Linked DNA regions of Daphnia pulex. The protein of the gene in region 2 interacts with the protein of the main gene of each other region in a pairwise test. Links are inferred from orthologs where the notes say so. Each region holds a gene or a part of one and is shown on either strand. Other genes may lie near its edges.

Region 1 (15,022 bases), on a different chromosome or scaffold from region 2:
AATGACGTTGTGTTGGCGTGTTCTAGTGCGCAGTGGGGGCGTGTAGGGGTGTGTTTGTTTCTTTTCGTCTTAAGCGCAGCCAACATCTCTTGAACAATTCAAGTGCAGAGCAGCTGTAATCTCTCTCTACGTCAAGGAGATAATTAGGAAACTTAGACAGAAAGAGACTGGCCGTCTTTTCGTTATCGCAGTCTCGGAGGAGGGCGGCTCTTTGCGCAGCCGCATCGACTCTCCTCACGGTTTGCGTGTCTTGTCTCGTCGGCCAAATTTACCCTCCATCGCCCCTACTATACTGACTCTGTTCCTTCTGCCGTTCAATACGACGGGTGTTGTGTGTGTGTGCGCTTCTCGTCGCAACAGTTCCACTTCCGAAAGGCGACCAGCAGCCAAACCCATCGAAGCGTTTATTTTTTTTGTTGTCTCCATCGATTTCTTCATCTCGGAAACTTCACAACCCGGAAGGGCAACCGTCACACTCGTCAAGTGAGTTTTAACTTTTTTAGTTTTCTTTTTCTTTTTTTTTAGAGCAGTCGATTTTCTGACGATTGAAGTTTTTCTTTTTCTTTTCCGTACATCGTTATATATACGCTTTGTTGATACTCTTATTCGGACTGGTTATGGCTATCGGGGTGATGGGAAGCTGCTGCTAAAAAGTCGTTGTGGTCTTGTTTTGTTGTGATGCGTCTCGAGTGCGCACGCTCCTTTTTGGATGGATGGATGGATGGGGAATACTATAGTACAACAGAGACGGAACGAATTTTATTGTTTCTGGAGTTATGAATTTCTTCTGTCCCATTTACTACCATATCAATCACATTCCAGTTGGGAGAACATTAAGAACCTTGTTTCCAACGGGATATTCTGTCAACCGAAAAGAGAATAAATAATAAGAAAAACCAACAAGGGCGTCACGCATTTCAGATCGATAATATCAGACCTACCCAATAGATCACCGACTTGAGCTTTAACTTGTTGTCTTTTGTTTTCTCCTTGGCTTTATAAGGAAAAAACATCCGTCGGAAATGTCCGAAAATCGGTCTGCATTGATTGCGTCTTTGCTGTTATTCGGCTGCGTCATATCGTCCGCCCTACCAGCAGCTCCAGGAGGAACAGGTATACATAACAAATGATTTCCTGCTATACTGGAAACTGCGTCACAGCACGGGTCCTATTCGCTTTTCTTTTGCGAGTTTTCCTAAATTCATTCCTTCTTTATTTTTTATGATTTTCTTCCTGATTTCTTTTTTGATTTTCTCATTTTTATGGTTTTTGGTTTCATTCGCTTTCCCATAACTCTAACCGATGGGCGCACAATAAATAAGGTGGTGGATATCGAACGCTCAAACAATCCCGAGCGTCATCTAATAGCAAAGCAAACATAATGCCAAATCTGTCGGTTGGGGTCGGCTCTTTGGCTCGGGTTGTTGACGGGCAAATCCAGGAGAGGCAACTCGAGATTTCCTGGTGGTCCATTGATGGAGGATATCAAGAGGGGGATCAAATAGTCCTCTACCAGTATGTTTCCGAGACATCTTTCTGCCAATCGATGGGCTCTGCGGTGATTGAGCAAACGACGATTGACGCCGAGATGGCCAACGCCTCCTGGGTCCGTCTCAACTCCAACATGCCTCATTGGGTAGCTGGAGATCTGATTGATGAGCGCTGTCAATATTATTGGGCGGCTTATGTCCGCCTGGACGGCCAAATTGTCGCTTGTAATTGCCTCCGAGCCCGTCCCAATTGGATGGCCGACCTCAAAGACACCGGGATTAGCGCCGCCAAATTGAGGGAGCTCTATTTGCCCGGCACTCACGATGCGGCCGCCTACGAACGATATGCCGGACTAAGCTCAGACCAAATTGATACCAAATATGCTATTACTCAGGCAAGTTTTATTATCCGTACTCCGTAGACGAATAATTAGTTGATGAATTTAAAAAAGGTCTCTCCGGCTGAAAACAATCGAAACTTTTGGCCAAAGACATTTTTAAATCATTTAAAAACTTATACGCCCCCACCCAGGATGAAGATCTCTTTCATCAGCTTTCGTTCGGTGTCCGTTATTTGGACATGAGAATCATTTTCTCGCCCAACCTACCCAACGGCGCGGATGTCCGTTTCTACACTCACCACGGATCCTACATTTTGCGCCCACTGGTCAACGACACGGCGCTCGTCCGTGAATTCATCAGCCGAACGGAGGAGATTGTCATTTTTGACATCCACGGCGTGGATAATTTGGACCAAGAACCGGGAGCCCACCAGGAACTGCAAGATCTCCTTTATCAGGAATTCGGCCAGTGGATGGCCCCGGCCGACATGACCTGGGAGGCGACTCTGAACGATTTCTGGTCATCGGGTAAACGATTGATCGTGACTTACAACGATCCCAATCATGTTGGCGCGCCGTACTTTTGGCCAGCCGTTAAACATCAGTGGGGCAACGTCAATACCGTGGAAGACTTGGAGTCTTATCTGACTGGCGTGATGGAAGACGCTGCTCAAGGGCAATTCGCCTGCAGGCAAATTCCAATTGCCAATTGCAGACCATGGTCTGCAATGTCGGAACTCACGCCCAACTCGCTCGACGTCATGACCGATCGGCTCGACGGTTTACGCAACGCAGCGGACCTCGTCAATCGTGTGATATATGATTTCATTCCCATTATTTATATATAACTGCCAATGATCAAATGGCAACTGGAACGTGTTATTATTATTCATCTCAAAATGTCTATTCGATAATATTCAGGTAACGTAACCAACTGGTTCCGTGATCGCTGGTCAGAGTTGGCCAACATTGTGTCGTTGGACTTCTTCTTGGGTGGGAACATCGTCGATTTGGCTATCGCCGAGAATCAGCGTCGCTACCCTTAATCAAGAAGAGTTCAGAGATTCAAATTCCTTATAGTGTCGACCCGTCGTGCCGCTTATCTTCCATTTTTATTATACACTACCACGACCGCAGCTCGTCGGGAAAGGTGGTGGTGGTTGACTTATTGCTGGTGTTTGCTTCAGATTTCCTTGACATTTTAACAAACAAAATAATAATAAAAAAAGAAATTGATACCAAAAATATTATTGACACGGGAATAAACCAAACAAACATGTGAACCGTAATGATAAGGTTACGGTGGTTGTTGCACGGATGACGCGCGTCCGTCAGATAAACGGCTTTACTGGGTTCGCGATTGACAGGTTGATCAACAGTATTGACGTGGTTATCAATTGGACGTCAACATATCTATGTGTGCTCTGCATGTAATTTTCTTTCAGAGGAATGCTGGACAAGTCCGCTCTATCCGCCCGCCGAGAGTCCCAGGGTATTCCTAACACTATCGCCGCTGGCCAAGAGTTTGCCCGGTGGTAACAGCCAGCAGAGGCAAATCGAACTCAACTGGCACGGCAATGGAGCGGCCTCTCAACCCGGCGACTGGATTGGTCTCTATGAGCACGACCCTACAAACAACCCGACGCTTCCGCTCCGCCAGATCGCTGTGGCAACAGGAAAGAACAGCGGCTACCACAAAACCGACGTTCAGTTCGGATTCCCCGCCGTCGACCGACATCTTTTCACTGGAGATTCGTCCTGCCTCGGCTTCTGGATCGGCTACGTCCGCAACGGAGTTACCGTCAGCAGTAATTGCATCAAACTTCGTCCTTCGTGGATGTGGCAAAATAGGTAATTTCGATTGGGTTTCAGTCATTTCCCGTTACTTCACACATTATGGTTACACTTGGGACAGGGAAAAACTCGGTTCTGTGCCTCTTTACCAACTATTCCTTCCGGGTACACACAATTCCGGAAGCTATCGTCCGTACAACGGCCATTCAAGCGATACAGGTATATAGGCCTAGCAGTTTTAATATCGATCAATTAGTTTTTTATGCTGGATTTTGAAAATGACCTCGTTTTCCATTTATTCCCTGGAGTTTTCATGCGATATCTAATCTGCCAAGATGAAGACATTTTCCACTCGCTATCCTACGGCAAGGAGCATTTTCTATTGAATTCAACCGACCTTATATAACAAAAATGTTGGCCTATTATAATAGGAATCCGATATCTCGATGTTCGTGTCGGCTATTACCCAGAAAGGGATGACAAATTTTGGTTGAATCACAACTACGCCCGAGTCAATCCTCTCCGTTTCCTAATTGAAGATTTGAAAAATTTCTTGGAAGGTTCTCGAATCTTTTAATAATTTCAAACCAACTCACTTAAAAATATCTAATCAGTTTTGGGTTATTTTCTGAAACAGTGACACGCGAAATCGTCATTCTCGATTTCCACCGTTTCCCAGTGGGCTTCAGTCAAAACACACTGCGCAACAGAGAAACTCACGACCGATTGGTTAAATTGTTGTCGGATAAGCTGGGCGATTACATGGTGCCGTCCAGCTTCGGCCCCATGACGACGATGAATGATCTGTGGGCAATCAATCGAACTCTTATCATTGTCTATGCGGATGATTGGACCCGCTCATCTCATCCTTTCCTTTGGCCATCCATTCCTCAGGTTCGTTTAATTTTATTTATTTCTGTTTAATTGTGAATAACATTTAGACTTTGCGCCCAGGAATGGGGTGACAAAAGAAACGTCGACGATCTCTACAGATATTTGTCGGTTATTGATCACAAGCGATTCGATTCCGATTACTTTTGGGCTGCCATGGCAGAATTGACTCCATCAACAATGGACGTTTTGTTTCGTCCTAATGACGGGCTCAGAAAATTGGCGGATAATGTGGCCAGGAACGTGACGACTTGGTATCGTGATCTCTGGTGGAAGACGACCAGTATCGCCGCTGTCGACTTTTTCCATTCTACCGATATCATCGACGTGGCTATCGACGCCAGTCTCAAACGTGCTCGTTGCTCCAGCGTAGTTCCCACTACCCTTTCGAGTGCCACGACAATCCAGCAAACGGCAGCGGAAGAACGGTCGACAGCAACCGATAGACGGAGATTTTATCTAGGGCCTCGTAACCTCGACTTTGCTGAATCGACTTCGGAAACGACCCCTATAAGTCTAGACACGACCAGTCCCTCACCGAGAATAACTGCACGCAGACGAAGGCCCAAGAATAACACGACAGCAATCGTAGCGCCAAATTTACCGGTTATTACCACTACGAATTTAAACTGAACATGCAATTATTTTAATCTATACCCCGGTGATGATGACTATATCGAACCCAGTTTTAAGCAAACCCACTACACGACACGTTTGATTGTATTTATTAGTGTTATTGCTTGTATTGTTTGTCATGATTTAGCTAATATTAATAACCGATTCAGGCTATTTTCTGTTCGTGTTGTTTCCGTACCTACAATTTTTAACACGCAAAAACTCGAATAAATCCACCAAATAAAATTTAGAACATGTTGCCAATTTCCTTAAGTGATGGGGTATATAAGGATGTGCATATCATTTGTAGGTGAAAACACTTTTTTAACCATTTAATTACAGATGTGACTGGCAGGATTGACAGTCAGTGCAAGGAGTGAAAAATTTGTCTTTGAAGGACATTTCTATTAAACTCAACAATATTAGAACACTTTAACTTATTGAAATCATAAATTAAAAATCACAGGAACAGTAATCAATCAGAAAACCATATACACATTCATTAACAATGCAAAAAGTCTTCGTACATTAAACCACCAAAACAATGACTCGGTTATCCATAAATAACAAATTTGAGATTTTATTGAATTATAATATAGACTCGGATGGTAAAATTTAGTTTCTAAGGGATGTCTTCGCCGGAAGCTCCGGAATCGTCAGGAGTACAGGTACAGCCCATCGCGACGCCAGTGGAGACAACATTTTCCATCAGTCCGGTAACAGTGTTGTTGAGATTGATTTCCAGCAGCGTCATAATTTGCTTGCAACTGCGGCCAGCGTTGCAATGCTTACACGATCCCCGGCAAACGATTTCGGTGTACTCGATGACAAAGTTTCCTAGGTGATGATCCATTTCCAACGTTCTATTTTCCACGCGGAAAGGACACAGAGTTTCCGAATGATTACCCAGGTCCTCGACTTCAGTGGAGATGGAAACAGTCGGAAACAGTTGAACTGCATCGACATTTCTTTGCGATGATTGCGCTCCTTGAATGCGGAGACTTTCGTTGTGCTGTACAGACTCCAACAACGGTATGGCAAAGCAGTAAGGTACCAAAACGCAAACAGTAGGCAAAAGAGCAATGCAAATGCTTAAAAACTTCATGATTGTTGGACTGGAACGAAACAGGGAGCGGCGAAACAAAAACTAAGTGGGATTAAGTGTCGTTCCCAATGAAGAAAACCGTTCTGATGGATCGACGGCTCGTACCGCATCTTATATATTCTTGAATCGGTTAGCAATCAAGCCTCCGAATGGAATGGAGCGAGCATGTAGGAAATCCGTGTCAGTGTAGCATAGGTGGAAGCGGAACGGGTCCCGCGAGTGAAAACTGTACAACAACCAAAGTGCGCGTCCATTCTTTTGGCAAACGGGAAAGTATGTACGCATGCCGCGCAGTCGGGCATTATTACATCCTATTTCAATTTCCCAGCTAAAAGACGTGATTTTGTACGTCATTCGGCATACGTAAGAAATTGTTAACCTATCTCATTTTCGCTAATCTTGGCTAGCATGTTCGTACAATGTGGTCGTTTATTTACCACGGGATTTCCTTTCAGCGTCTTAGATACGGGGACAAAATCCCACCAATCTCTTTCCAAAAACCACAAAAACCAGAATCGTTTTCAAAATTAGGATGGAGGAGTTGTAGAAGGATAACCAAAATTTCTACTGCTTTGCAAATCGCACCATTCTTTGACGTGTGATTCTTTATCCTGCAGGTGTGACAAATGGAAGCTAAAATGTCAGATGGGAATGTAGTCCACTGTTTACGTCAATACACTACGCCCGGATAACAAAACTGCGTAAAACGTTTTTTCGCGTTATTCCCTCCGAAGGACGCATTGCATATACAGTTGTGGTTTAGCCACCTCGTTAAGATTCGTTTGGTTTCGCCATGTAGGAAATTAAGAAAACAACACCGAGGAAAAGTCATAGACAACATCATTCATTCAAGTTCATAAAATATATAATTGCATGTTTCGAGTCTACGATATTACGACGGTACTAGATCAAGATTGTGCAGCTCACAATAGGAATGGGTTCACGTATTGTCTATCTGTTAAAAGAGACGGAGAGGGAAAATGGAGAAAGTAAAAAAAAAAATGGTTGAGGGTAGTACATGTGGTGGGTAGATAAGTGAAGTTAGGTATTTTGATCTTTACGAAAATGAAAAACAGAGAGGTGATATGATGGCATGATGTTTCGACGAGATCGTAAAACAAGCCAACTCAAACTTTTCTTCCCACTTTCACGACTTGACAGTTTTACAAATTACTGAGAAGAAATTAGGGTTATTGAGGGAGAAGGTGAGTGTGTAAACGGAACGCCACAGGTGACGATTGTCTCGACAAGAAGGAAGGTTATCCCATTCGCCTTCACATTCAAGAAGCTGCTCAATTTCAATCATGAGCACAAGGGGTTGGTTATCAATACGTGATGAAACAGAAAGAAAGAAAAAAGATTAACATTCATACATATTAAAAAAAAAACTTGCACTATTCCATTTAGAAATAAAAAAGCTACCAAACTAAATCAATTTTGAAAGAAAATTGACAAAACATGAAACAGCATTAATTCTCTCTTTAGAAAAGAAATGCAAATTGGATCGTGGTGGGCCAGCTCTTGAACTATAAAACATTCGGGTGCTGCTGATTTCTTATTGGTCAAGAATTTGAGACCCACTTACTGACGTTATTCGTTAAAATAAAGAACTGGAAAAGTAAAGCCCTTGTTTACAATGCTCAATGCATAATAAAACAAATTTAATTTTTAAAGAGGAAAAAAAAATGCACTCATATGGCATGCCGCTCCGATGCTGATGGGTGTGGGGAGGGACATATGGGTAAAAACAAATACGCTCGGAGTGCACGGCAACAGTTCTCAAGGATGGAGATGAATGACCTCAACAATACAACATGTAGTAGGAGCACAAAAGATGCAACTATTTTTTTAAGGGGGAGGGAGAGGGGGGAGGGGTTTAACGTTACTCAAAGTTTGACGAAAACATGTTCAGATCTTCGAAACCTGACGCACCAGAGTGATCCAACATCTGAAGCATGTCCGTCACTAATTCAGATCCTTGAGGAGGATGACTGGCCGATGATGTAGTTGGCACACCAACTCCACCACCTGCAACCCCTCCGCCAGTGGGACCTCCGTTATTCGGGCTAGATTCCGCGGGAGGAACTACGGGTGATTGCCAGTGCCAAAGTCCTGTTTAAATTACCATTTAATATAAGCTTTCAAAATAATTAACCAAATAAATCAATTTACCTGAACTTTGGTGGTATCCAGCTCGGCCAGTTGTTGCAGAGCTGCCTAGCTGCGTGTAAGTTGGACCAGAACTTCCTCCTGCCATTCATTATAAAATAACATTAAGAATAGTACAATATTTTTCATTTGTCAGGGGAAAATACCTGGAGATCTTGATGGGCTTATTCCTTCGTAAGCGGAGTAGCCACCCGGTGCAGTAGCGTGTGTTGACCAGGCAGTACTTCTAAGGAGAGAAATTGTTTAATAAGAACAAGACAAATTGAATGAAGCATCTATCATACCCTGCCGAGGCGGTAGGGCTTGGCGACTGTTTCGTACTGCTACCCGAGGGTATTCGGTTCAACACAGAATTGGATGAACCTTCGACAGACTGTGCTGACGCTGTTTCGTACTGTGACGAGGCAGCAGCTGAAGGATTATACATGGTCTGATTACTATTCGGGCGTCCTTGACCTTCAGACAGCGACTGTGCATGATAAACTTCACGTGCGCTTCGTCCGTAATCTTGGCTGGCGTGACCGTAGGCAGACACCAACCCACTACTTGTCGCCCCAACAGCTGTGGGATCGACTACTGTTCCTGAAACTTCTCCAGAAACAGTCGCATCACCAGTATGGTGCAAAGATCTAACAAGGAAAACAAACAAACAAACAAATTCAGTCTAGATGAACAGAAAAGAAAAATATCATAACTGAAAACAAGTGGACTTACTTGGCCGACGTATTGGTGCAGACGATATATTCAACTTCATCAGTGTACGGGTTCAAAAAAGCAAACGCAGATGTTCGAAGCCAGATCCAGTCACGCGACTTTGATCGGAATCGGTACATGACCGACATCACCTGGCCTTTCAGTTTGAGAACTTGCTCAAAACTTTCTTTCATATGGCTGACATCTTCCGGGTGGAATAAATCGAAGCAGATTTTGCCTAGCAGTTCAGGAGGAGAATAGCCGAGCAAATTGAGTGCACGCTGGTCAACAAAAGTGAATTTGCCATCAGCCGAATGACGTGAGATGAACTCTGCGGCGGAATTGGATCCAACTAGGTCAGAAGTATTTGGAGTAGAAGTGACCTGAAGGCGACCAATGGCCACTAGACAGCAGTGAGATCCAGAGTGAGAATCATCATCAACTCCTCGATCCATCGGTACGCCACTAGGCGGCCAATTTTTGATGTATCCTGTGCAATGAACGACGGCATAATGATGGCCATCGCGCGAGGGACCTAAGGCGGAACGTTGGCGTAGTCGATGTAGAGGGCCTGAAGATAAATGGTGTCAACAGAATTCACAAAGTTGTTCAACAATACACTACTACCTGGTGGTGATGTAAGAGGATCTGGTGACACTTGCCCCAACCTCATTCGGCAGATGAACCCTCGGCGCGAACCCATACATAACCGCATAGATGCTACGATTGAAATATAAATGAAGTGGTTAAAAAAAGAAATCAATGAAATTTCATGGTAAAAAATGTTTACATTGATGCCCCTCTTTTTTGACCGTTCCTGTTTTTAGGTCGAGAATACGACCGGCATTAGGAGGCTCCTGGGTAGACAGTTGCTCACGGACTTTCTCCACGTCGTCCGGATGCAAGTGGTCGTACAGACAAGAGCCGAACCAGTCACTTTGACCTTGGTGGAGGACTGGAGTCACACTATCGGAAACGTAAATCAAACGGCCAGTGTCACAAGCCGACACAAAAAGAAAGCCGTCGGCTGCTTCAAGAATCAAGTGCTTCAATTCTTGATCCGTGAGAAAGGAAGGTTTGTAGGTCCCATCGGCGCTTGTATTTCCCGTTCCTGTTGAACGAAAACAAGAAAGAAATGTAATGAACAAGTCCGTGATTGGCAATGTAGAAAATCAGACCTCGGAGAGCTTTCATGTGGGCTACAGCCATTCGAAGAATCGTCAGCTTGTCTGGTTTGCGGGCCAGTGCTGAACAAGTGGGCACCATATCAGACAGCTCCGTGATGTAAGCCGTCATTTTGTTGCGCCTTCGGCGCTCGATTTCGCAATGGTTCTCCCTACATAAAAAATAAAAGGGCGGCGGACAACATCTGCAGACTTTTCGACACTTACAAACTAATCGGACCCTTTCCTAATAGGAACAGACGTCTCACAATTGTGTACAACTAGGTGCTAATTCTTACCTGGCAAACCGCTCCTTGTCTTGCATATTGTCGTCCTCCATCCTGCCGAATTTGCTGGTACTTCCTTCGTCGTCCGAACTGATCAAAGTGAAGAAAATGAGAAAACGTTTAACACTCAAACATTTTTAAATAAGTAAAACACTACTGCATTAGATCACAGACAAAAGTTTGTGAATCACAAATGGGCAACACTCGCGCAAGTCGGATGCGGATGCCTTCAGTACTTCTATAAAGAATTCTTTAAATGTTGACCTCGAAGTTCGAACGCTTCTATCTCGAATCGTGACTGAATATTTGTACGGGAAGAGGCCGGTAGGAGGAGAATGTCTTTGTCTGATCTTTACTATTTAGGAAAATGGCTTTTTTTTCGGTTCCGGCTGAGCAACAACAATCGACTCTGATGGTGATCAATCTTCCTGTGTTGGGTAGTGGGTAGAATGTGCGCTAGAGGACTTACCCAAGAGAATCGGGTTGCCTTTTTTGCCGACAGTCTGATCCTGTGAGAAATACAAGCAAACAACAGAAGACATTACGTCAGTTCATTTTCATAAATTACCATCTAGCAAACGTGCGCACCATGGAACCAACCAGACAATAAAGAAGAAAAAAAAAGGGAGGTTGGACAACTTAATGAGCGGATGAACGCGGGATACTGGAATCCACGGGTGAAGAGTACGAAAACGTGAAAAGAATTTTCAAGTCTAAGTCTCATGGAAACGAGATAAAACTGACGGGAGAAGAGAGGAAATTTTGCCTCAGGCGATAGATCCATGCCCCAAGAAGACTGTTGACCCTCAGCAGCTGAAAGCAAGCTTTCCTTTTTCTCTCCCGCAACTAACGTTCAAGCTAACATTTTCCCACGCAACTGATAACTTAGAAATCGATAACATCGCAAATCATCCAACCCAGTTTATTAAAGCGGATATGAAAACAAAACCTTTTTTTTTGTACGAAACTATTTGTCCTTTGCATCAGCGAAAAGGAGACGTTTTATACACGATCTGAAACAAAGAAACAATCAGGGGAAGATAAGGGAAGCTGCTTTTGCTTTGTTGCCTAATGACATAATAGATGTGGGAATGAGGGGAAAAAGGTGCCTGACCTGCTGAATAAATTCTTTTGCACACTGAACTCTTGAACCCATTATAAAGAAATTAACTTGAGCTACATTAAACACAACTAGGGTTATTGCGGGAAACCCATCTGAGGTAGTAGTAAACACAATGTTACAGTATAATCATTTGATAATTGAAAAAATAAGAAAATTTAGATATGTTTCCTGTACACTAGTAAGAAAATCTCTATTCTGCTTTACATTCAATCACTTAAGTGGTTGGTTATAATGGTATAATGCACTTTAGCTTTTCCCCTGGCTTTACGCCCAATATAAAATTGGGTACATAGTAAAACATCTTAAGCGTGATAAAAACAGATTTTTAAGATATACAATTTCTTGATAACAAATAAACCTAAAGGCAATTACCAGACAGTTGATGAAGTCCTGCTAAATGGATGTCCATGAAGGAAAAAGGAACAAAGCTGTCAAAAATGTCCCTCAACCTTAGATTCCTCCCAATACTCCGAATTAGACCTTCTCCGATCAAGTCTTCACAGTTTAAACGTGTTGTACACAAACTATTTGTAGTTTTGCTTTATCTGTGCAAATAAACTTTAAAAATGTCAGTTTTCACTGCGTAGAGCTAGAAACCAACTTCTTCGCGTCACAATACGCCTAGCGCCATGTTTTCTCTGAACGTGGCAACATGGAATACGAAGAGGGAGAGAACTTTTTGATTCTTTTCCAAATCGAACTTTGGACCGGTAAAACTTTATTTTAAAAACTGATATAAATTTTTCAAAGTATCAAATTTCAATAAATATTTTTTTGTGATAGGTTCTGAAAAATTATTGGACTGTCAACGAAACTTTAATCCGCAACTTAACAAATGGCAACACTAACAAATAGCAGACGAATTAAAACAAAAATAAAAATGTAGAAAAGCTCGAGTTCCTTTACTTCCGTAATCTTTACATTGTAACTTAGACAACTTGGTTTTTATTTATGTTTTCCGATGTCATCGAAAACGAAGAAGCGGTTTGACAGGCTGATCAGTTGCGTTAAATCCAATAATGTTGAACAACTGAAACATTACGCAAGAAGAAGGAAGTATGCTAAACTCCACCTGGACGAGATAGGTGTCAACAAAAAAGGAGAAACATTGTTACATCTGGCGTGTCGACAAGGAAAACATGAGATTGTTGCGTTCTTGTTGGAAAATTCTCTTGGAGACCCAACTTCAATGGATTGCAAGGGCAACACACCACTTCACCTGGCATTGAAAGCTATCATGAAAATTGACGGGAGAAATGAATATTTAACTGGTAAGTTATTTTTCGAAATCTATAGTAAATAAAGAAACTAGTACATTCAAATATTTTAGCTTACAGGAAAATGATACTTGCTCATCTTAAAGAAATGGCTGTTTCATTAACACAACCTAATCTGGAAGGCCAAACTGCCAAAGATCTTTTGGATCTTGCTGATTCTGTCTATGAGTATCATTTAGGAGGAAATGAAAAAAAGACAGAGTTTTCTCAACAGAAAGATGAAAAAGAATGGCAGAAGAAACTTTCAGCAGAACTAGATGATGAATATGGAAGTCACTGGGGAAAATATGAAGAAGATTTTGTTCAAGAGGATGTAAATGAAACAGAATCTTATGACTCCTGGGCCAAAAGAATGATTGATGAGCATAAGAAAAAAATGTCATATCAAAAGTTTCATATTACACCACCATCCCCACCAAAATTGAAGCCATCCTGGTCTACGGAAGATCAACAGCAATTCTTGCGGGATGAAGAAATGCGGAATGAATTTCGAAAAAAGGCTAAAGCTACTCAAAAGCTTACTACATTCCTTACCAAACTTAGTTTGTTGATTCAAACTGAAGATCAAATTGAAATATCAGACCTCCCATTTAAGCCCACAGATGATGTTGAATCGATTGGACAACTTATATTGGCGCACGTCAAGGATTTGGTAGATCCTGACGCCAAGAGGAAGGCATTGCGCGAGCTGCAGCGACTTTGGCATCCAGATAAATTTTCTCAGAAATTTGGCGTGCGTTTAAAAGAAGAAATACGTGAAAATGTTATGAAAAAAGTTACTGAAATTTCTCAATATTTGAATGCATTTAACTGCGTTTCTACAGTCACTAACAAGTGAAAGTGACAAAATTCTTGTGCTGTGTAAATAAAAAAAAACATTAAATATTTTCCAGAAAGTAATATTTTAAAAACCATCAAATTCAATTTTTATTTTAACAAGCGTTCGAAGCACAGTAGATTAGATAAACCGGAATTCGGAGCCTTCGTTGAAAACCTGTTTCTTGTTTTTAGATTTTAATAGAAAGAAAAAACGAAATTTTCTTGAAAAACCCCGCAAGACAGTTTCCGAAGGTTTCAGCAACTTACCAAGTAACGCTTTGCTTAAACCGTGCAACGTTGTACGATTCCCCTATATTGTTCACCTAATCAATTCTTAATCATTTTTTTTTTCAATGATTAATGAAAAGGAAAACTAATGAATACGTGATATGAGACTTAAATCGAAAATTTAAACAATTATATGTACGGGTTATCTTGGAAAAGTAATGCGTTTATTATACCCACGGGAATAATTGATCGCAAAAAGTAGATATGGATTCTCAATATAACAGATGGAGCGATTAGTCGTCTGTTAATTGGCTGAGTAGAAGTTATAATTTCCTGTTCATTCTTGTGAGGTTTTGATTGTTTTGATTTCGCCTTTGTTCGATCAAACTCCTTGTTTCCTTTGTTTACTTCTGTTTTGATGTTTTTTTGAAAATCATAAAAAACAGCAAAATGAGAACAGGATTTTATAAGATTGATTTAAATAAAACAGAATGGGAAGTCCCAGACAGCTATCAAATGCTATCACCTGTAGGCTCAGGTGCTTATGGACAAGTGTGGTAAGATTTAAAGTTTAAACTATGTAACACTGATTATTTGTATTGTATAAATCTTTTTTGTATACCCAGCTCGGCAGTTGACTCAAGAACAGAGAACAAAGTAGCTATAAAAAAACTTGCTCGTCCTTTCCAATCTGCTATTCATGCCAAAAGAACATACAGAGAACTAAGGTTATTAAAACACATGAACCATGAGAATGTGATTGGACTCTTGGATGTCTTCACTCCTGCTTCATCACTGAGTGATTTTCAGGTAATTTCCATGTTTTCTGTCTTTTACAAGAGATTTGTGAATTTTTGAGCTATTATTTCACATGATAGGATGTTTACATGGTCACTCATTTGATGGGAGCTGACTTGAACAACATAGTAAAAACCCAAAAACTATCAGATGATCATGTTCAATTTTTGGTCTATCAAATCTTGCGTGGACTAAAGTACATTCACTCTGCTGGAATTATTCATAGAGT
Region 2 (16,592 bases):
GTCGGTTTGCGCGCCATCCTTTCCGTCGCTTTCGTCGGTGAGCGCTTGATCCGCGTCTCTCTCTTCACTTTCTTCGGCGTTCACCAGGCGGCGCAGGAAACGCCTGTTTCTCCACAACACACTGCCGCTCGCGAATTTCACACGATATGCGCGATAGCGTCCGATCGCCACGACCACACCTACATGGCTCCACAGCTTCAATTTGGGGTCCTGCACGCGCACGTTGGTGCCGATTGGCAGGGATTCGAGGGCACGCGAGCGAAGGTCGTAGCGTGTCTTGGAGTCCGCGTTGATTGCCGCCTGCCGATCCCTCGCCTCCATGACGGATTTCAAGCACGTCGCGTACGCCGAACGATCGGCTGGGACGATCGAACGAAGCTAGTGTCCGAACACCATTTGCGCGGGTGACAGTCCGTTCTCCCGGGGGGTGTTCTGGAATTTTAGGAGCCCATGTTTAAATTCTTCCGCATCTAGGTCCCCGGATGGGGAGATTTTCTCGACCAATTCTTTGACGGCCGCTTCTGCGTGGCCGTTACTTTGACTGTAGTTTGGCGTGGAATTGCTGACGGCGACACCCCATCGGTCCATGGCTGTTCGGAAAACTCCAGCGTCGAATTGAGGTCCGATGTCGGAACGGAAACGCATTGGGACGCCAAGTTCGACAAAGTTGTCAATGACAGCGTGCAAGACTTCCCGCGCGGTTGGGTCCCGCTTCCATCTGTGGACGACCGGCCATCCGGATAATCGGTCGTCGTAAACCAACACATGGAGCTGACCCGACTGGAACAGGTCGGCTGAAACGTCCTCGAACACGTGTGTCGGCAAGGGGTCGGACATCATAGGCTCCTGCTGGCTGCTGGGCAAACGTTCCTGGCACGTAGAGCAGGTGGGAAGAAGCGTTGTGATTTCGTTAGTAATGCCCGGCCAGTATACAGTCTGTCGGGCCCGCCTGTTCGTCTGCACGATCCCCTGATGGGCCGCGTGGAGCTTTTTGAGGACGTTCTTCCGGGCCGCCTGAGGGATCACGATCCGTTTACCAAACAACACAATACCATGGTCCACTGATAGCTGGTGCCGGATGCCCCAATAATTTCCCACTGCGGCGGGTGCGCGGTCTCGACGGTCAGGAAACCCGGATTCAATCGCTACGATTAACGCGGAATAATCATCGTCGTCCGCGGCCAACGCACGGTTCTATTGTCGGTGTAGTTCTTTGGAGTTCTACTGTCAGCAACCCAAATATAGACAAAGAAGAAATCTGTACTGAGTGGAAATGAAATCGTATGGCTCGCCCTATCCTTTCCTTTAAAGAAAATTCACGATGGTTTCAGATTCAGAGTAGGCCTAGTGATTAGCAGTAAAGAGGTGAAAGTCAGATGCAGTCAAATTCCAGAAGGAGGGTACCGAATCCGTAATAGGTGTGTGTATTAAAAATTTTAAAAAAAAAAGAACGAACTGACAGTAGTAATTAAGCCAGAGATATTTTGTTCTGAATAAGAGATGTATACAAAAAGATTCACATACATTCAAAGTAAAGGGAGGACATGAACACAGAAAGTTGATTTTGCAAGTTGTCTATGAAATAAATAAGTCATAGATTTTAGTGCATGCCGGTTTTTAACTCTACTAAAATGATTATATTTTTATAGCAGATTTGCACACTAACTCAATTGACGATTGTTTTCTCGTCTCAACCCGCGTTCATCATGGTTATTCAAAGCACGTCAATAACAAGACAGTGAAAAAAAATCAATCAAGTTTCTATATCAATCCGTTGTCAATAAAAAGGGGAGAAGCCTAACGATTGATGACAACTGTATGAATAAATGTACAGTACAATTTTTCAGAGAGATATTTAGCACAACGTTTATGTGTTCATGATATAACTGGCTACATGGAATTCTTTTTTAATGGGACAAAGACTAGTCACTGAACATTTTCCAAATCATGTGAATGTTGTCGGATTATTATTTACTTAAAGGGCCACGATTACTTATTGTTTGATGGCGTTATGCTTATTATAATTTTTTTTTAATACACATCTTGTTGGGAGAACTGACGTTGTGTAGTTCGTTTTAGGCAAGAATTAGCACGCCGACTCTTCAATGAAATTCAGGTGAATTCGAATACATTACACGTAAGGAAAAAAACTACCCAATAAACATATTACTATTCGGATCTCAATCAACTCACAACAATTCTTGCACTTCAATTCAACATATCATGATTTCAATCAATTTGTTGTTCGGAATAATAAACCCATGCAATAAAGCACCTGATTTCATTGAATCGACATTAGTTGGGATACCATGTGGCTGAATTGTTGACTGAAGACGCTGACGAGGACTTGGACACCTGCGGATGGTAGAGGTGGAAGCCGGAAGGTGTATGAGAATAGAACTGGCCCGCGTCGGCGGACACCAGGGGCTGGACGGAAGCATACTGATGATGGGATCCGCCTGAATTGTGATGGTGGTGGGCATGGTGGTGATGTTCGATGGAACCATGGCCATAGTGGACGTGATGGTGAGGCTTCAATGCCAGTGGTTGTGTCGGATTGGCAGAGTAGGAAGACTCCGCCGAACCCAGACCACTGTACGCCGAATGACGTAACGAAGCCTCGGCGGCGAAAAGAGCGCCAGCGGCTGCGTCGCGAGGCGAAACTGACGACGGAGGTGTCATGGCCGGCAGATATTCCGGTAAAAAGCTTCCGGTGGCTGCGGAGTGGTAAGAGTGAGAAGAGGTAGGCGGGAAGACGTCACCGGGATAGTCATTGCCACCGTTGACGCCGGTAGGTGGAGTCGGCAGCGTTTCTCCATTGGAAAAATAGCCAGACGGAGTGCGTCCGGCCGCTGCGGCCGCAGCTGCGTGAACGTTGGCGCGTATAACGCTCTCCCTGCTGGCGTAGAGCTGGCGGAGCAACGACGGAACCGACAGGGCAGCGGCCGTCGCAGCTGACGATGTCGAACCCGACGGCACTGGCGGAGCGCCGATCCATTGAATAGTCGATCGTGGCTTACCGTTTGAAAGAAGTGCATCGGTACTGAAATCTGTGGTATTTCCATTCAGTCCATTTCCATCAAGGTCCCGATCCTAAAAAAAAAATAAACAATTTTAGCTCGACTGGCCATTTCAAATCGTTTGACAAGAGTTTTACCTGAAGAGATTCGTTTTCCATGGCACCAGCGTAAAGCCTCTTCCAGCGAGCCACGTCGACTTCGCTTTGGTGATCCGTCAATGTGTTGGGATTTTGCTGATCTTGGATGGATGCGCTCTCGTTACTGTTTGAATTGTCTGTGGAATGATGTTGATTGTTGTTGTCTAGGCCAATCATTGAACTGTCGGTCGCTGACGGAACCGACACCAGATCTTCGTATTTTCGTTTTGCGGATCGATGGTGGTGATGGCGCCCGGAAGGACCGCGACTGGTCCTCATTCCCGACGAAACAGATTCTTCCGGTGGAGCCGTAACGACCTCTACTTCAACCTCGGAAGATGGCCGACTCTGTTCGGAGCTCGGCACGGACGATCGATGCGGATCGATCAAAGTCGTTCCGCTTTTCGGTAAAGATTCCGAGCTTTCGGAACTGGACCCATCCGGCGAACTATGGAGGACGTCCGACGCACCGTGATCGGTTTTGAAAATGGTTGGTTTAATTTGGATGATGGGCGCCGATTCCAGCTGGCACTGATCCACTACCAGATTTTTCATTTCCGTTCGGCTTCAAAATCAAATCAAACAGATTAATTATCCAGTTTAGTTAACAAATAATGGTTGGTATTTGTTACCTGAGAACGTAGTTGACGCAGACGATGCTCTGTTCGTCACCGTTCTTTGAGTTACAAACTACTGTAGCACAAGATTGAATCCAGGTGAATCCTCCGTGACGATTTAGGATCCGGTAGTAGGGTGTCATCACCTGTCCTTTATGCATCACTAACACACAAAAATACGTGGATAATAGCATAACTTAATTTCGCATCAATAATTAGAGAGTCTTACAATCAGTGTGGGCTTTACGCAATAGGCGGACATCTTCCACATGACATAAAGTATAAAGACTCCTGCCTGTCAGATCTTCAGCGACGAATTCCAGGAGCTCAGCAATCCTAATTAAGTAAAAGAATCCCGATATAGCATTACATTTATTTTTAAAAACTTTTGCTGCCTTGGATGTTTACCTTGGTTCACAGTGAATGATCCTCAAATCAAATGCCAGTCGCGTAACAAACATGTCCGGCTCAAGCCGAACTTCGTGAACGGTGGGCGGTGGTAGGGCAATAGCCATAGCAATCATTCCGAGTAAAGGAACCGGTTGGTTCTGGCCTTGCGGGCCACTACTCGGCTGCCCAACTCCGGATTTACCGGCTGTATACGCTTGGCTTTGTGGCCGAAGTCGACAGAGAACCATCACCACCTTGAAAATTCAAAAATAATGACGTGATGAAATATTAAGGAAATTGAATTTGTTTAATTTTGAAAACCCAACAATCAATTACCCGATAGCCGGACGATTTAAAGTGGCAGCCGCGTTTCGTTAGTGTCGATTTCATTCGAATGCAGAAGGAACGGTCAAGGCCCTGATAGGCCGAATTACTCTCAAGACTCATCAGCGAAGTCACTATATTGGCAATTTCGTTATAAAAAAATTTAATTTTAGATTAGGAGTTTTGTGATTTCAAGTTTTAAAATAATAATAATAGTAATACCATCAGGATTCATGCAAGAGTTTCCATCATCAACACTTCCAGTGCCAGAAGCAGGCGACGGTGGCAGTTGTTGAGACGAGCTTGTCGCAGAAGAACTGGCAGACTGGTGGGTCTGATTAGTGGCCAGTGTAAGGCCCAGTTGTTGGGCCAATTCGGCGTGATCTGCGGTATGGACGTAATCGAAGACACTGCTACCGGTCATCTCGACCTGTGACAGGCCCAAGTAGATGGACACCGTTTCGGAGATGTAGAGGAATCGTCCGTCGGAGCCCAGGGAAAAAGCGAAGCCGTCCAGACTCTGCAAGATGTGCGTGCCTTGGTGCTGGTCGAACAACTCGACGTGAATGTTGGCCGGTATCGAGTTGTGTTGTTGATGCTGCTGCAGCTGCATTTGGTGGTGCGGATGCTGCTGCTGCTGCTGCTGGTGTTGATTATGTTGGTGGGATCTCGAACGACTGTTACCTATAAACGAATGTTTGAATTTTGTGTTTTAATTTATCGATAATCAAATGAACAGAGTCCTCGTATAATAGAAAGCCTTTTGGTTTTGAACCCGATTTTTTAACCTACTGTGGTTACTGTAAATGTCAGAATTCGAACGTCACTTGTTCACGAGGGAGGGAGAGGTAATCGAATTCAACTTTCCATGACAAAGGAGAAGGGAGACTGACAAAAGTTCGGGTTGGGGGGTTTCTACTGTTCCGTTTCTCTCTGTGGTCTGTCTGTGTGCTGGTGCGACTGTAATATAGAGAAAACCGAAGGGGGGGGGGGGGGGGCATCATTGATTCAATTCAACGTGATGATGGATTGTCATCGTTCAGCCAATCGTGAAAACTAAATCCTCCTAACGTCCCTTCGTTTGTCCAAAAAGCTACAACTGGGTAGTAAAGTTCATGACGCGCGTATGTCATGATTAGTTCGTCACTTTGACTAATTGATCAAATCAGTGGAAAAGTTGGCATTTGCATTTACCCCCAGACAGACAAGCAGGAGAGACTGTAAAGTCTCTAATGAACTTATAGGCCTACGCATGAACATTATATACTAACCTTTGTTGGCCTTGTTCGATGATGAGGAAGAGGATCCTGATGCCGACGATGACCCTGTGGACGACGTTACGTTTGACGAAGAATTTGAATTGGCGGATGAGATTGACGAAAGCGACTCCTTGATCCAGGCCGGGTCGCCGTTGCTGGAGAAATCTTTCAGCCGGAGGAATGATATAGTCAACCTAATGATGGACGCCTTGTCCAGTTGGGAAGTGATGGCCGGCGGAAGAGGTAACATCTTGGCCAGTTCGTAAAATTCGTAATTTTCTTTGCCGCGACGGGACCGCGCCGCATCTCGTGATTTCTCTTTACGCATCTCCAATATACTAAATCATCCAAAAAAGGGCAATCATGAATATTGGCTTCTATGAAATAGAACATACGGTAGTTTAAATATGCAGATCATGTCGTCAAAAATTTCCACCACTGGTTTATCAACCAAATCAAAAGTCTCTCAGCTATTTCCACAGTCTCGGTCACTCAATTGCTAAAGGTGTAAACCGTTTACGAGTGTGTTTTTTTCTCTCTCTTTTATACTCTGCCTAAGCTATAAATAAGGACGACGCAATCAAATGTCAACGGTTTGAAGCCAGTACTACCGGTAGCCAATATAAGAAGGTTGGTTCAGTAGACGACAGGCTTGAGCAGTCGTTCTCCAAAATGGGTCTTTTGGGGGAGTAGGGCAACTCGTACATTGCGGGTTGCCCAATATGGCATACAGTGGTGAAACGGCTGTTTTCACACTTGTGACCTGTCGTCTACCCTCCCCCTCCCCTGTCATGGTTATATAGAACTCGCCTTCTTTGATGCTCTGTTGTGTCTATTATATAAGAGCTTGTCCGCTCAATGGTCGCCGCTGTTTCGAACCGTGCGATGACTATTGCGTCTTGGGTGTGTCCCAACAGGGTCGATCCTCCAACAGGGGGGAGTAAAAAAAATGTATATAAAATAAAACGCTGGCCCGTTGTTTGAAATGATCCGGACCACCGAACGGTTCCCGACGGAATACAGGCGGAGAAATATACGTACGAAGGGTGGAATGACACGGGCAATAAGAAGGAAGAGAATAATATTTATTATTCTGGAGAGAGAGAAAAAAAAAAGACCAGCGGATCATATTTGTACCAGCAGCAGTTAAACGTTGGCGCATATAGGAGGCCTATTGATGTAACAGCAATGTCAAGGCCTACACAATAACACCCTTCGACTGAAGGGGGTCGTTTTGATATCCAGGGCATATAGGGTCAGATCAATAATTGCCGGGGTATTCAGATGTAAATGAAGTAGGACTAGTCACAAAGCGCATATCTGCCTCATATTTAGGGTGGCAAAAGGATGATCAAGTACACATGAATAATAGACGCCCCATGTCCATTTAATAATAAATACGGCGTGTTTCCATCGGCGATCGCAACAGCATATGCCTATGCTTGAAAATGACATTTATAACACGTACACAATGTCTCTATGAACCTCTAGTTATTGTTGGGCTCTCTTTCCAAATGGTATCACCGAGATCGTCTATTATTTTTCAAGAAATAGATGGCGATTGAGATAATAAGAATAAGGATCTTTGTAGGTGGGTGTGAGAAGTTGGATCGTTCCATCAACCGATTTTCAATGAGCTCTTTGATGGGACTTTTTGAAGTGGGCAAGAGGGGAGGATTGGTGACTGGGGGGCACGTGTCGGTGTTAGCTGTAAACACAACAAGGCGCACTCAAAATGCGCGACCATTCCGCCGGGGCCGTTTGTTGCGTTTGAGCGACAGCTCACCCCATTCTTCATATCCCTTACAGATCCACGCAAGTCGGCAGCTTATGTTTCACCTGTATAAACGTATGCAATACAGCCTGTAGGCGCATACATAATCACACACATCCTATAACCGGAAAATGTGATAGCCTTACCAGCGAAATTGCCGGCCGTCCGCCTCTGTTGTGACAGTAGATGAACTGTCACATCGTCAAACCACGTCGTGTGCCACCTCCCACGTGCATACTTGAATGGAAGGCTAATTGAATATGAGCATATTCCAACATGCCATAACTGATATTTTTTTCTTTATTTTCCTCTTGCTCAAATTTGTACATCGTACGTAATTCAAATAACTTATACAAGGAAAAGTTACGCAATATGTTTCTCCCTTTTGAACTAACGGTCTTCAATAATAATATTCTTGAAGTCACGAAAATAATAAATCGAAAATGGTTGCAGTAAATTCATTTTAAAATATTCGCTTTGGCCTCATCATCGACTAATCCTTATCGGACACGCAAATGGCCTGAATTCAGACTTTTCCTTAAAAAAAATATATACATTTCAAATGACGAAGTGTTTGCCCATGACGAACGCATACAAAGTGTAGATCGATGGGGAGTGACAGAGTGCAACAAAGTTGTTGAAAAGATCAAAAGAAAAAGTTGCTCGGAGGGATATAGCGGCCTATTGATTTAGCTGGGCGCTAGCCACATGATATCGAACATCAGTAGATCACACCGTATAGGTCAATTTGAAGGCTTAGGCCGAAGCAAATGAAACATCTATATAGACTCCCAAGTCTTGGACAATCAAATTGGTAGACTATTATATAGAGGCCTATATGCGACGGCCTAGATGGAGAGCTGAATGAAGTGATCAAAAATGCGCATCGCCCTGGTCATGATATACTCTCGTGAGGATATAATATCCATAAGGGAGAAAGCATCTATACACCCAACCAGGGTAACAATAACACCCTCCTCCTCCTCTTCCCCCACACACACAAAAAAAGGCCCAAAGTAAAAGGAGCCATCAGCTGAAGGGAAATAAAAATATACAGCACACGAGAAAGGGAAACCAAATTAGCCGCCATATTGCTTCCGAAAGATTCGGCTGCCGCTCCGGAGCGTCTAGCCTGCTAGATCCCAGCCGGACAGACACCTCTAGGCTCGTTGATTTCGCGCCGAGAGACAGAAAAAAAAAGAAGAGAGAGATATATATCCATCATGTATGAACGAATGGCTCTATCTCTGGCATCAAAGTTAATCCTGGAGTGTGATGTTGGCGGAATCCTCCAGAGGGTGGAGGACAAGCTAGCGACTGGACGATTGGATTATCCGTCAGCCCCCCTCTTATAGTACAGCAGTAGTGTACACTATATACTCTCTCTCTCTCGTCTTTTCTATTCTCTTGATTCTTTTTATGTACTGCGTTCCGTGTGATGGCCGTGGAACCACTTGAGAGCCAGTTGCAAATGGCTCAAGAACAAGTCCACAGATAAGAGAGAGAGAGAGAAAAGACCTGCACAGCCCGGCTGCTGGGTCTCAATAAATCAACTTAGCATTTCGTTCCCCAGTTGTGAACTCCCACTCTCTCTTCTTTTACTGATGCCTTATTCTACCGACAGATCTGTCCAAGAAGAATGCCCATCCTTCCAAACTCGGTCGTGTTTGTGGCTATCACGAATAGAACATTACAGTTAACTCTAGAAAATAAAGCGATTCAGACAATGGCTAGACATCAGACGAAATAGCCATAAATTAGAGAAACTGATGGACGAAATTCCATCACTGTCGACGGAAGCTAATCTCTGCGATCATCAACGATCGATGCTGGAATAAAATTTAAAAAAAAACATGCACACTAGAGACGGGCGATTTCATCCGAATTTGTAAATATCTAGCCGAACCAAAACCAAAAAAAAAAACTACGTGAAAAATGCGGACGCTTTCGTGTTCTTCCGGACTGACCATGAATGAGTGTAAGCAGCGGAGGAGAGAGGTGAGCGACGTTGTTGCTGTTGTTGCTGCTGCTGTTGCTGGTGTTGTTGCTGCTGCTGCTGCTGCTGTTGGTGCTGGAGCGACGAAGCCAATGCGGAGTAATCCGCAACGGCCGAGTGGTGGTGTCCCATACTGGCGTGACCGACCAGGGTTCCGGCCATGGCAGCGGCGGCGGCCGCCGCTGCCGTTAAACTTCCTGGACCGCCAGGGTATTGATGATGCGAATATGGCGGCAGAACCATCCAAGAGGCGGACGAAGACTCGTCAGCACTGAAATGATCGCGGATTCCGGCGGCGGTGGCGGCGGCTCTTCCGCACAAGCCCAGAGCGTAACCGGCCATCACGGGCAACAACACAACGGAAGTAAAAAAAAGAAAACGAAAAAAGAAAAAAAAAGAAAACGGGCCAACCGCAAAAGAAACTGTCCCGTTCAAGTTGAATTCTGAATTCCGGAGGGCGCAGGGATTCGAATCATCGATTCCGACCAGGTCACTACTACAACTGTCCAGTAGCCGGATGCTCTTGCATATCAATGATTCGAAACGGAGGGTGGACTACTGACTTGCTTCCGCTTTTTCCAGTCCCCAAAAACCGAAGGACGTGAAAAAGAAAAAAAAAAACAGGAGGAGGAGCTAGGAGCCCTAGGTATTTGTTATGATGTGAAGGTTCTCTCCCGCCCTGCAGCCCGTCCGTTGTTCAACCGCCCTTTTTCTTCCGAATGTGACCGGGCTGATCAAACAACTCGTCCGGCACCGGGAGCACGATTTGGCTGTGCAGTCCAAGTAGTTCAACAGAGAGAAAGAGAGAAAAAGAGAGAGAGAGAGAGAGAAGCAGGTACGCACTTACTGCTAGCCACTGGGATGGAGACTGTCGCCGTCGACTCCTCATCCGTCCCATTTGGTATGAGCGCCTCGTTCTTCATCCGCCCCCACCTCCCTCCTCCGCCTACTCCCGACCACCCTCTGCCCCCCCCCCCATTTCTCCTCCTACTCGATTCACTAAATAAAGACGGGCCGAGAAGGAAAACGCGAGTCCACAAATCCCAAGTCCCATGTGCAATCGATTTCGTCGACGCTTGTCAGTTGAGTCTTGTACAAAATGTCGATTCGACCGTCAGACAAAAAAAAAACTAACAACCGCGTCTATCGTTTATAGATAATACACAACCGGAATTCCGCTAGCAGAAATAAAATAAAAGTAATGTTTTTTTTACACCAAATATCCGCATCAATCATAAAAATAGAAGAAGACAAAAAAAATCCCAGAGAAAAAACTTTGATTCACTTTGTCGTTCAAAAAATGTCTACACGTTTCTGTTTTCAAGTTTAGATTGGTCGTGGGACTCTTTGGCCCACTTCTCCTCAGTTGGGTGGTGTAAAACTGTGAGAGATTTCTGGTCGGCTATATTAGCCGCGTCAAGGCGTATCCGGCTCTAGTGATTCCGGATATACCATACAAAGTGTTTATACGAGTATTATTTCTACCCGAGGACATGGGACCTGATATCGGCCGCTTGCCATGGAACATTATAACATACTGTACAAATAAAAATAAAAGAAATGATATTTACACACTTCGAACAACAGGAAATGTCTGGAGATGTTTATCAGCCGATCAATAAGATGATCGGATAAAAAATAAAACTGGAGATGTCGTGTGAACCGTTCGTCTTTTGTTTCCTAAATGACCATGGCTTCACGCATATCAGCGACGCCAAGAAGAAGAAGATTCCCCGGTATTAGTCCGACGTGCTGTGATTATTATTACACGTTCTATACGACTGATAACAACAAACAAACAAACAAAAAAGCGAGAGACTTATTTATATTTCCCGTCACACTCGCACGCCCACAGTTGCACGTACTTGGAATAGAGTAGAATCACGCCGGCGTGAAACGTCCGATCGCAAACGAAAAAAAAAAATAATAGCCGCACTGGAAATTCGTCTCGGTCAGTTAAGACATTTATTATTACAAATTGCCATCGAAAGAATGACACACAATCATAAAACACAACGACACTAGAAACATGCGCTGTATAGTCAAAACACGGGACGGGAGTCTGAGGAACCTCCGGCTATTGACAGAATGGGGTGGGTGGGTACGTCCGTCAGAGGAGAGTTGATGAACTCGACAAACGCAAACGGTAGCCAATCAAATTGTATTATCAAATCGAAACCCACTAGCGCATCAGCGCTTCTCTTTCTCTTTCCCACTCTATAAATAGAGACGACGGCGACGTCGCAGCGTCGTACATATAGGAGCAATTAACCGCCGCGTATGTGTAAGTTGGCTACCGTGGTAGGAACCCAAGAAGAAGAAGAACCCTTCATTTGTTCATGGAAATTCAATGCAATTACACACATCAACCATCGCCACTGCGCGCGCGTGCTCCCGCCTCTCACACTCGCAATATTGGATGCGGACGGATCAAAAGTACACACACACAGGAAAAGGAGAGGGGGGGGGGGGATTTAGTGAGGGGGGTGAAAAAGGGGGTTGAATAGAAAGAAGAAAAAAAAAGACGGCAGTGGCTGCTATACGTATAGGCCTATGTATATGCAAGTATTGGATTTGCGACCATATAGTCAATACATGGCGAGGTCTTTCCGTTTTCGATCAAACCAGAAGGCTGGCCATCAGCTAACATACAACGAACCCTCCAATAGACCTTGATTACCCCCCATGGCAGACCTTTAGAATTTTTCTTCTTGTGTCATTTCACTCCCCCTTTCCCTTCTGCTCGTGTGCTTACATACTAGGTTAGCTCGGGTAATTCAAATATGTTGCACGAGCAGTGCCGAGCTTTGAAATCGCTCATTCGTTAACATGTATCGGTTTGGGGGAATTTTCGGGGGTGGTTTTGGTGTGGCAAAAATAATCGGACTAGCATTATTGACATTTTCGATTGAGACAAGTTTTTTTTGAGTGAATTCAATTCAATTTTCGATTGCGCGGCAAACAGGGCAGGTTTGGTTTTCTAAATGCGCAGCGTATATAATTATAATTTCGTTTTAATAACGTTGATCAATCTTCGTCTATTTGACGGAGCGAATGGATATACATACCGGTGTCATCCAATTTTTCACGGTTGCCTCAATCCTGTTTGAATTAAGATGCGTGTGACAAGACGCTCAATTATTTACCGGCAATTATTCAAGATGGGGGGAGATCTCTTTCATCAGCGAAACTACAGTTGCCTAGATAATACCATCATCGCTCATCAAAACAAATCAATTCAAATGATTGAAGCGGATGTCACGATCCGGTCTCCGTCAACTCTCCGACGACATTTCCAGTTGGCATTGGCTATAACATGACTGGCCGCGTTTTAATTAGTGGCGATGCGATCCCAATGTCCGACTTCTGACCCGAGAATATTATTTTAAAAATAAATAAATATAAAAAAGAGGAAAAACCCCTCCATTCCCGAATTACTATTTCTCATCACGTCGTCATAATTAAATTGATCGCCGGGAAAGGCCAGAATCAAGCAATCGAGACGGCCCAGAATATACGAGAGACGACGAAGATGAAATGAAAAAAAAAAAGGGAAAAACATCAACACAACAATAAGAGCCGACGACCACACCAAACAGCAGCAAAAGAAGAAGAAGAAAAAAAGAAAAAAACAAATTCTGAAGAAAAAGAAAGCCAAGAATAAAAGTTGGCCGGGAGTCAGATGATGGTTTTCAATAAGGCACTAATGATGTTGAACTAAACCCATGACCGTCGTCGCCCGCGCTTCTATTCTATAGGTCACGTGTCAACAGCCGCATCACACACACACACACACACACACACACACAATCACTCTATTATTACCAAGTGAGATGTTGCTGGGCTCAGCGGACGCACCGGCCCAGTACAATTGGACCTATAAATGGTCATGCTGAGGTTGCAGATGATTTTCAACTCTCGCATTGATTGTTACCTTTTTTTTTTAACGTATGGGCATTAAACGGACTTTCTTTCTAATGTTTGATTGGAATAAAAGCAGGGTGTTGGGCAGTGATCACGTAAATATATGGCCGTTATTCAATGTAATCGTGTTATGAGCTGCAGCCAGTGAGCAGAAAATGAAACTGGAAATTGCGGCGATAAACAATATCAGAAAGGAAAGGGGTTTCGGGGTCGCAAGTGTTACGTACATTTATGGTGTGGTGGTCAGTGAGGATAGGGGTGGTTGGTTGAATAGGAGGGGATAACAACAAAAAAAAGGGGGGTTTGATGAGGTTGTTAACGACGCATTAACACATACATTACAGACCAAAGCCGTGGGCAGACCTCTAGATAATAAACGATGTTCGATATGTGTTGTGCCACTGCTGCTGCTGCTGTGTATATAAGCTAATACTTAACCAATAAGTCCAGCGACGACAAATGGCTTTTTTTTCGCCCACAACACACGTCGCCCCCCACCCCATACTCCCAGTTCCTTCCCCTCGAGCCCTAGTAGGGTCTCTGCATCGAGTTGGATATTGCTCTTTCGGTTCACGGGCGCGTGATGAACTGAGATATGGCAGAAGAATGGAGAGTCAAGTTGGATCAAGATGATGATGAAATGGGACAAATGTCACTGTACTCTATTGACTCATCGCTTAGCCTTTTGCAGTGTTTCATCTGCTCGCTTATATCCCTCGCATCTCCACAAAAGAGCCCGGGTATCCATCAACCGGATTGCTGCCGCCATACGTGCCTTCCGTCCCGCTTATCACGCACAAAATACGGACCCCGTCAAAAAGATGAGTCGGCCAAAATCTTTCTTCGTTTGATGTCGAAGTGCTCTCCATTTTTCTCTATAGGCCTACTACTACTACTACTACTCGACTTGGGATTATTTACACCTGAACTGCACCTCTTATGCAAACAGCTTTTTTGGGAGTCGAACATAGTGTGTAGGTGCATGACAGACGTACACAAAGAGCGCGGGACATGTAAAACAGTTTGTATCAATCTGTGAATAAACACATTTCACGTCTGCTGAATTTTTCGCCGACATGTACTATCTATCTGGAAAAGGGACGCCGTCTATTTTTCTATGTGCACGCTACAAGTCTAAATCAAAACGGTCGAATGTTTGCTGTCAACTGTCACGTTCTCTCTCTCTCTCTTCTGCATCTGTCCTTGATGCGTGATTGACATTTCAAATCAGTGCGCCATAATCAGAGCTGCTGAGAAAAACTCTCCAACACAACCGAGTAGAGTACGCAGCACATCCATATTATTGTAGTTCTTTGGGAACGATGTGTGTACATGAGGACGTGTTGCCGACATGGTTCATGACGAGCCTTTCGATGTGGCGGAAAAGTCAAAGAATTTTGTCAATTGATATTTCAGGCGAATGGCAAATTCACTGAAAAACGAAAATTTCGATTTTGGATTCTGGCACGATCGAGTCCCGCGTGTGATACCACGCCATTGGGAGAGTTGGGGAGGGGGTGGGCTGGACAGAGCGAGAGCGCATGACTGCCGATGCTCACGCCCGCTTCTTCGAACATGGAAGAAAGTAGGTGGAGTTTCTTGGGCGTCCGGATGTCGCCACCGTTGGCAAGTGTAGGGAACTGTCCAATCACGAAGCGCGGCGTGAGGGAAGACTCTCAAGAAAGAGGATAAATGGCCGAGGATGAAGGGAAGAAAGAAAAAGAAAAACCACCCAAGATGATTACTCTTTTATGGATGGAATCAAAATCTTGCAACGATCCGGGGGGCTCGGAGGAATCAGCCTTTTCGGACAAAAGAGCCTCATTCGCCATGAATAAATTAGATTTTCCTGTCTGCTGTCGCCCGGCAGCTCCCACATTATCATCAATGTTGGGTGAATAGGTTCATCTTTCGGTCGCGGTAGCACTTGATGGAACTCGTTGAGATCTTTCATCAAAGGAGGGGAAAAATCGGGTGGGTTTCAATATCAAAATAGCAAAAATCGTAGCGCCGTCTACAAATCATCTAGTCGTGTTACTTAAAGTAACGAGATGAGGATCAAATGGACTTGACAATTTCCCCCCTACAAAAGGGACAAAAGACCAGAAGGGTCATAACCGTTGATCCAACTGGAGCCCTTTGGATTTTCTACCGGCCACTCAGGACACACGAAATGGCCCTGGGTAGTGTGTTACTCATCAAAAGTATGATCAACTGACCGAGACCTTTTGACCCAGGGTGTTGCAGTAATTGTACCCAGAGACACCCCGGAAATAAAGGCTGCACCAACTTTTTATTTCATCTTTTCGGCTATTAACACGTACAGACATTTAGGCTTGTGCTTTATGTCGTAATAAATCCTTTGTTGTCTGCGTGCTCATTCATTAAGTTCATTTGTGGTTAATTGCTATACAATGACCTTAAAAAAATGTTCTGACTTGGTTTAAAGTTGCGCCATGAGAAATAAGTTTGGTCGGGTCGAAGGCGTTTCCGAAAAATTGTGACGGCAAAGAAAAATCGATCTGTCATCTTTGTTTTTTGTCTGTTTTATTTATTTATTTTTTTCCTTCTCTTCTCTACCCTCTCGGATGGATCTCATTCGCCATGGTGGATCAGCAGGGTTGAGGGAATCCCTTCATTATGCACGCTCCATGAAAAAAAAAGCCTTATTGCCAGCAGGTCCCTGGGGTGTCGAAACCGACACCTAACCGCAGTTTACCAACAACAACCATATGCCATCAGCAGCAGCAGCGGTAGGAGGAAATCTCGATACGGATTTGATGTAGGCCTACACTGACTGATGATGTATTATTACGCCACATTATATCTCTCATCTCTCTAGACGCTTCAAAAATAAATACCATATGGATCACAACAACCAGAATTTGTTGTCGCTACGAATTTCGAAAGAAGCCTAAAAGTCTATCGCATACATTATTGTAAAAAAAATCGTGGCTATATTAGTAAAGTTGAAATAATTCCAGCAATAACCTTGCTGGGGGATGGCGATGGGTTGAAAATGATTTCCACAGAGTTGGTCCTGTGCATTTCTATAAATAATATATAAATATATATATATGTATTATATATTGAGAGAGCAATGGAGGAGCAGCAGCAGCCGTCGCCGCAGTCTAGCGCATAGAGAGAGAGA

Evidence for each region.
Region 1: the proteins of protein trachealess-like (region 2) and aryl hydrocarbon receptor nuclear translocator homolog interact in a two-hybrid assay, tested with the Drosophila melanogaster proteins (3 studies listed by BioGRID). The link is inferred for Daphnia pulex from reciprocal best matches to the Drosophila melanogaster genes trh and tgo.

The regions. Positions count from the first base shown.
Region 1 is NC_060018.1:4,543,558-4,558,579, reverse strand, and holds aryl hydrocarbon receptor nuclear translocator homolog, read right to left. Parts: upstream 11,852-15,022; 5' UTR 11,333-11,851; coding exon 11,137-11,332; intron 11,058-11,136; coding exon 11,018-11,057; exon of another isoform or gene 10,711-11,017; coding exon of another isoform or gene 10,706-10,710; intron 10,639-10,705; coding exon 10,561-10,638; intron 10,438-10,560; coding exon 10,277-10,437; intron 10,210-10,276; coding exon 9,889-10,209; intron 9,819-9,888; coding exon 9,726-9,818; intron 9,670-9,725; coding exon 9,120-9,669; intron 9,035-9,119; coding exon 8,690-9,034; intron 8,632-8,689; coding exon 8,552-8,631; intron 8,487-8,551; coding exon 8,409-8,486; intron 8,349-8,408; coding exon 8,119-8,348; 3' UTR 7,065-8,118; downstream 1-7,064. Other genes in the region: PI-PLC X domain-containing protein 1-like, read left to right, coding at 1,023-1,113, 3,277-3,682, 3,747-3,844, 3,934-3,990, 4,057-4,185, 4,263-4,519, 4,580-5,149; NF-kappa-B inhibitor-like protein 1, read left to right, coding at 12,633-12,942, 13,002-13,786; mitogen-activated protein kinase p38b-like, read left to right, coding at 14,446-14,552, 14,622-14,805, 14,874-15,020. UniProt on the Drosophila melanogaster protein: Heterodimers of tgo/trh are involved in the control of breathless expression. Plays a role in the cellular or tissue response to oxygen deprivation.
Region 2 is NC_060024.1:9,201,129-9,217,720, forward strand, and holds protein trachealess-like, read right to left. Parts: upstream 10,395-16,592; 5' UTR 9,860-10,394; coding exon 9,489-9,859; intron 6,086-9,488; coding exon 5,760-6,085; intron 5,173-5,759; coding exon 4,711-5,172; intron 4,623-4,710; coding exon 4,501-4,622; intron 4,419-4,500; coding exon 4,183-4,418; intron 4,111-4,182; coding exon 4,004-4,110; intron 3,938-4,003; coding exon 3,790-3,937; intron 3,723-3,789; coding exon 3,158-3,722; intron 3,094-3,157; coding exon 2,296-3,093; 3' UTR 1,397-2,295; downstream 1-1,396. UniProt on the Drosophila melanogaster protein: Transcription factor, master regulator of tracheal cell fates in the embryo, necessary for the development of the salivary gland duct, Malpighian tubules and the posterior spiracles.